2 linked regions of the Xenopus tropicalis genome follow. The protein of the gene in region 2 purifies or fractionates together with the protein of the main gene of each other region. This does not show direct contact. Links are inferred from orthologs where the notes say so. Each region holds a gene or a part of one and is shown on either strand. Other genes may lie near its edges. The genes, in order: dnajb4 and bag5.

Region 1 (3,934 bases), on a different chromosome or scaffold from region 2:
TGTCCAGAGGTTAATAGTAAGGCTGCAACATCCCCTTAATCACTTAGATTTCCTTCTCCTCCTGTAACCCACTCGGCCCCCTTCCTTGGGAATTTACTTTGGCTGTTGGCTTGTGGACATGCTCAGTTGTTCTAAACTCAGATTACTAAACACCCCCCCCAGTCTAGCAGCCAGTGAAGAGATGACACTGCTGGTTCCCATAGAAACTCAGCTCTAGCTGTCTGCTTCAGTTTTTTTCTCCTGAGCTCAGCTTTACCATTACAGTAGTCAAACAAAGCAGAACTTTTATCAGAGACAGTTCTGCCTGCGTGAGTCTGTATTCTTGATGAAATGTATGCTAAATATGGGTCTCTGTGTGTGTATGCTGTTTGCAGATTAAAATATATCTGATTAAGTATCAGGAAAAATGGCCACCAGGTGAAAGCTGCTATTTGCTTTAGGAAAATGTGATGGTGCTGGCAAACGGAGGGGATATATGCAGTACAAATGATGCCATTTGGGTGGGGGAGACGTGCCCAACTGATATATATTACTGATATATATTGTAGGCAAATGTAGGCTTTTCATGTCCTTTAAGATTGTACTTATACTAACTAAACTGTATAAGCTAGTGCAAACTAATTGCAGATGAAAGTAAAATTAAATATATTTCTTTTAAAACTGGAAAAAATATTGCCAGCCAGGTCACTGTTTCCTTTCTGAAAAATGAATGTTATTACCTTTCATTATGGCAGGCATGCTAGAAATGCATTCAGGATAAAATAACTCTCCCACAAAACAAAAGAACATTTGAAATCTGAAATACTCATTATAAACTGTATATAGGTATGGGGTCCATTATTCGGAAGCTTGTTATCCAGAAAGCTCCAAATTACAGGAAAGCCATTTCCAATAGGCTCAATTTTAAGCCAATAACTCAAAATTTTAAAACATTTTTTCATTTTTTTCTGTGAAATAACCTCATTCAGAGCTGTCTGAATAACATATTTCCGGATAACTGATCCCATACATGTACAAGTATTTCACTCTTATTTCTTTCAATTCCAAAGAAACACTATGTCCTATAAGGACAAGCAAGTGTGGAACTATTTAGCTGTTTAAAGCTTTAAAAGCCTGATACACTTTGCATGACACATTATTTACAGTTTTCCTGTTAATAATGTTTATAAGATTGTCATGGGTTAAGCATGTATTTGCTGTTGCTTCAAGAATAAAGCTTTGGCTTGTTTAAAAAAAAAAAAAAAAAAACTTCTAGAAAGAGCTAGTGGATTCTACAGGCAGCATAGACGTAACTGGGAGGCAGAGAGCTGATTTTTCTCTATATATGAGCAGTAGGGGAAGGAATCCTATCCCAGTAAAATCCAGTACTCTGGGACAAACTCTAATCAGATCAGACACTGGGGATTTCACCTTTAAATCAACCCATACATTTTAAGAACCATTCCAGGCAGAATAATCGTTTAATTAAACTATATTTTAGATCTAATTTATCTGACAAAAAAAATGGGAAAGGATTATTATTCAGTTTTAGGGATTGAAAAAGGAGCTTCGGAAGATGACATCAAGAAAGCTTATAGAAAACAGGCTCTTAAATGGCATCCAGACAAGAACAAATCTGCTCATGCAGAGGAGAAGTTTAAAGAGATCGCTGAAGCCTATGAGGTGCTAAGTGACCCTAAGAAGAGAGAGGTGTACGATCAATTTGGAGAGGAGGGTAAGTATTTTATGGTTATCCTTAAAAATAAGGCAATGCAGAATATTTATTATTATTTATTCTTCTCCCCCTCTATGTAGAGTGAAATCCAGTTTGTTAACCCTTTAAATAGTTGAGAGGAATATGATTTGTTTTTATGATCTAGCAAAGCAATGCTGTTGACAATAGGGCGATATTTGCTAATTGGGGGTTACACTGCATGAAACTTGTGTATTTGTCTATCAATATGATAGAATTACATTTTATGTAACGTACTACAAGTGTAGATTTATAAAGGTTATTTCTGAAGCATAACATGCACACACTGATATGTTTGCCATTATGTTTTATATAAGCTATAATACAGACATCTGTTTTTAATCTAGTATTGCACAACATTGTGATGCATGGTAACATGCATATAACCACACTTAAAGACACAAAATACCTGTCTGGTCGTATAAATGTTTATACGAAAAACCTGTACTGTGCTCATGTGCTGTCAATGTTTATTTGTGTGGACAGCACAGATAAAAAAAAAACTTTTGTTCTGATTGGGGGCAATGGTGAATGATCATTTTGGTACCATACATTGTGTAGAAGATCTGTCTGTAACTGGCTTCTTGCCCAGAAACCTAGGAATTTACATGATGTCATTAAATACCAGAACCATTTCTTTATGCTAATTTTATGTAGAGACTTAATGCCAAGTAAAAGTCTAAGAAAATGTCCAAATAAGTTAGAAAGAAGCAAAATCTTTTTTTGAGAATAGTGATGTATCATGGTACATTTAATGGCAATTTAAGTAGCTCTAAATATGTGTTAAGCACAAATGCCCAATGCTTCTACTGAGAGCTAGGTTTGCCTTATGGGCCAAATTCAAGAAGGGACCCATTGTGGCTTTCCAATGTGATACCATGCTAGTATTACTATTTATACTATTACCTCATAGATATTTGCATCCATTAATTTTAACCCACAATTTAAAAAGCCTACAACCCATCAAAATTACCTTAGGTACAGACAGAGTTGATAGCAGGGCTGCCATCAGGAATCACTAAGTTTGCAGGGCTTGCTTCCCGGGGGGGCTCCAATTATTATATATTATTAAAATACTTAGTCCTATTTCAAAGTATGCTGTTTGCCTGGGAAGGATTTTGTTTCTGAGAGGGCACTTCCAGGTAAAGGACTAGCAATGCTATAAAGCCAAAATATACTGTATATATATTTTCATTTAAAAATTGTTAATTTAAAAATCTGTTAATCCAGCACCTACAGATACACAATTTCTCCTCAGCAAATTGTCTTTCTGTAGTTCTGTAGAGCTATAAATGGCATTTTAACCATGTATCTTCCAGTGTAAGAACTAACCAATGTAATGAACACAGCTGTGTTACATCATGTGTGTAAACATGTGCCCAATAGCCCTAAATGCAGCTTGAATCAGTGCACAGCAGCAAAAGGTCTTACAACAACCAGATTCACTTGTTTGGCAAACTCTGGGCCAAATTGGCACCTTAAATCTGGCCATGTACGGCCACCAGTTATATAAACTGTAGTACTGCTTTTCAAGCAAATGCAATGTTTTTAAAAGTTCAGGGTAACAGTGATATTATTTAAATGCAAAAGAAAATTTTTGGTCTTAGCTCTAATTTAATGTCTAACATTCTCAGCAAATATGAAGCATAAAGACTGTAGGAGTCATTTATGAAGGCTGGGTGCAAAGTGCAGAAAACTGGTACAATCTGCCATTTTTTTCCCCTTTGGACCTTGTCTTCCAGATGATGGAGATCTATGGCCATTACCCTGAATACATTGCAGGAGGGGGCTTGTGCCCCTTAGGGCTCTTGTACTTCTGTTGCAAGAAATTGTGGCACTCTTTTGTGAAATATTGCAGGGGCTGCATTGACAGAGAATGAGATAATGCATATAGCTAGGAATTTCTCACCTGCATCATTCAGCAGTAAACTGAGCTGGTCAAGTAATGAGTAGTTTATTGGCGTAAACCCCAAAATAGTGTCAGGGGCGTGGGCCTCCAGAGAACTAAATCTGGGTGATTTTTTTCACCATGTCCATGGCATGTCCAACCACTTTATTCTTTATTCTTTTTTTAGTTTTTGCGGACTTTGATTTTTGTATTTATTAGGATACTGGAAGTATCACCATTTGCAGTTTACATGATTGGCTGTGCTTACAATATTAACCTCACTGTTGAAATACCAAAAAATGTTAAATCACAGT
Region 2 (3,232 bases):
TAAAGAAATTCCGGCCCTCGGCACCGCAGAAGTTGGACAGCACTGGTATAAACTTTGACTAACTAGCATTATCTTCCCTTTATGTTTCACACCAGATTCACTGGTGTGCTGTGTGCACTGGCCTCAAAATTTGTGTGAGCATGGAAAAGTGTAAGAGGGCATCATGGCCAGTACTTTCTGCTAAACGGGATTCAGTTTTCTACTTAATTTAGCTACATAGTTTCATACTTAAGTTCTATGCAGGAATTTTTGGAGATAGAGGAGGAGAAAGAAAAGTATAACTAGAACATTATTTTATTAAAAACAGTTTAAGAAAAATCCTTCCAGTTTTTAAGTGAAGTGCGTGGGGCATAGGTTTCAATTATATATATATATATATATATATATATATAGCATGTTGCAAGAAGACAGGCACTCACGTATAAGTAGGTCCAAGGGAGCCTGGGTGCAGTCCCAAAATAATAGATGGAGTAGCTGTAGAGAGAGTCCGCACTCACAGGTCTTAAGAAAATATAGAAGTTTTATTCAAATCAACATTATTCAAATCAGTATATATATATATATATATATATATATATATATATATATATACAGTATATATACATGGATGAAGAGATGGTTGTAAGCTCTTTTGGGCAGGGCCCTCTTCACCTCTTGTATCGGTTATTGATTGCTTTATATGTTACTCTGTATGTCCAATGTATGTAACCCACTTATTGTACAGCGCTGCGGAATATGTTGGCGCTTTATAAATAAATGTAATGTAATGTAATGGTTAGACAATACCTGTTTTTTGTTTAAATAAACATGTCTTAGGAATGGCATCTTTACCTTTTTGTTTTTGGTTTTTTTTTTAGCACCAGTATCTTCTAAGAAATTGCTGTATTGAGTATGGATATGGGTAATCAACATGCTTCAGTCACAGCTCTTCAAGAAATACAGAAGAAGGTCAAAGAGATTGAACAACAAGTGGTGACATTTAGTGGTCTAAAGAGTGACCCAACTTATAAAAAGCTTGAAAAAGATTTAACTAAACAGTTATTTGAAATAGAATCTATTGAGACAGAGGGAAAAGGAAACATTCTACAAGCCCAAAAGAAAGCTACTGAAGAGACAGAAAGAGTTTTAAAGGAACTGGAGCAGAATGCAACCCATCCTTGCAGACTTGAGATCGAAAAGATCTTTAGTGAAACTCAGAGTTTGGTAGCGCTACATACTACACAATTTAGTGGGGAAGGTCAGAGAACAGATGAATTTGAGGAAGGAATTCAGAATATTTTGAAAAGACTTACTCAAGTAAAAACCGAGGGAAAGATCCCTCTAAGAAAAGCTAGGTACCGAACTTTAACTAAAGTTCTTGCCATTCAAGAAATTTTAGAAAGCTCTTCTAAACAACAAGTACTTTCTCTCCCTCTCTCTGCTGAGGCACATCCAACAGTTTCTAAAATTAACTCAATTATGTGTGATGTGAACAAAGCCAGATGCAGTCTCATAGCTCTTCTAGCTGGCGTCAATGACAATGAAACATACAGGCATTTATCTTGCACTCTTACTGGATTAATTGCAAACCTGGATGCTCTGGATGTTTCTGGCCACACAGACATAAGAGAGTATCGCAAAGAAGTTGTTAAGGAAATCAACAGTTTGCTGAAATATTTGGATTTAGAGGATGAAGCTGAGTTGGGAAGTGCTTATGACTTGGGCCAAAACCAGTCAATTGTAAAAATAGAAGAGATTCGCAAAGAAGCAGCAAAAATAAAGAACAGTCTTTTAGAAGTGCAGCAGCATATGTCTGACATCTATATGGGTACAAAGTCAGAGCTGCAGGGCCTCATAGCTAGCTTGGATGAAGTTAGTGTAGGGAGGAATCCTTGCATTCGTGAAGCTAGAAGACGAGCTGTAGTTGAGGTCCAAACTGTCATCACCTACATTGATCTAAAAGAAGCTCTCGAAAAGCGCCAGAGTTTACCAGAACACACAGTCTCAGAGCCTCCATGTTATATAGCTGTATGGACTGTCTTTGGACATTTATCTGAACTTCAAAAGGAAGTCCTCTTCTTTGATGGGAAGAGAGCTGATAAAAATTATATGAGATTAGAAGAATTTATTACTAAACAATTGCTGGCTCTTGATGCCATTGATTCACAGGATGGCCGTACAAAGGCTGCAAGAAAACAAGCTGTGAAGCTTGCAAATAATATCCTTGGATATCTTGATATGAAAACTGATGAATGGGAATACTAAAAAAAACACTGCTTTCGCTTTGCTTGCACTTTAAATATGGCTGTAAAGATGTCTCAGTTTCATCCTTGCATTATCATTGCAAGATAGGGTTTTTACTAAGCCAATTATCTGTCATAAAACAAAGCTTCAGTCAAAAGCTAGCCAGTTTTTGTTTTCATGTACCAATGGCGAAAAATTATAGAATGTTTAATGCTAAATATCCCAGTTTGACTTTATCAAGTGGAACAATAAGTGGCATATTTCTAGTTGTATCTCTCTTCTCATTTTTGTGCTGATTCTTAAATAAAAGTTCTGTCTTTTTTGATGGGGGTACAACATTGTCATTGTTATGTACACAAGTGAATAGTATGTACATTTTTAATTATATTGTTCAGTGTAAAAAGGCTGCTGCGTTTAAGGTATCTAATTACAAAATAGACATTGCAGCACATGCAGAATTAAAAGATGTAGTTCAGCTTGATTTCTGTTAATTCCTATGGGATTTTTAGAAGTGTGTTTATCAAATGATGAACTCTAACTTTTACCCAGTAATAAACAGAAATTAAGGGTGAATGTGGGTTTTCATGTATTAAGCTCTAAACTCATTTTTTAATAAATCAGCACCATTGTGTCATTATATATTTAGAGAATGTGCTTCACAAACCAAAATGTGCATCTCGTAATTCTGTACAGACAGCGAAAACATTCTTAAAGCATAGCACATGCTATTCAAAATGGGCAAAAAATTCAAATTGAATAAGGTTTTTTTTTAAAAAAAGATATACAAAAATTCACATTTTATCGCATTAAATCTTGCACAAGCTCTTGGCCAAAAAAATTAAAAGAATACAACATTAATTTCAAATATGATAATACAGGTATGGGATCTATTATCTAGAAACCTGTTATCCAGAAAGCTCCAAATTATCTCCCATAAACTTGAACATGATTTGCTTTTTCTCTGTACTAATTGTACAGACTGTACTTGATCGTAACTAAGATATAATTA

The links.
Region 1: the proteins of bag5 (region 2) and dnajb4 purify together in Homo sapiens (affinity purification with mass spectrometry; 4 studies listed by BioGRID and IntAct, with this or other methods). This does not show direct contact. The link is inferred for Xenopus tropicalis from reciprocal best matches to the Homo sapiens genes BAG5 and DNAJB4.

The regions. Positions count from the first base shown.
Region 1 is NC_030680.2:80,147,920-80,151,853, reverse strand, and holds the start of dnajb4 (dnaJ homolog subfamily B member 4), read left to right. Parts: upstream 1-1,256; 5' UTR 1,257-1,503; coding exon 1,504-1,714; intron 1,715-3,934. UniProt on the Homo sapiens protein: Probable chaperone. Stimulates ATP hydrolysis and the folding of unfolded proteins mediated by HSPA1A/B (in vitro).
Region 2 is NC_030684.2:98,469,263-98,472,494, reverse strand, and holds bag5 (BAG family molecular chaperone regulator 5), read left to right. Parts: upstream 1-857; 5' UTR 858-891; coding exon 892-2,244; 3' UTR 2,245-2,546; downstream 2,547-3,232. UniProt on the Homo sapiens protein: Co-chaperone for HSP/HSP70 proteins. It functions as a nucleotide-exchange factor promoting the release of ADP from HSP70, thereby activating HSP70-mediated protein refolding.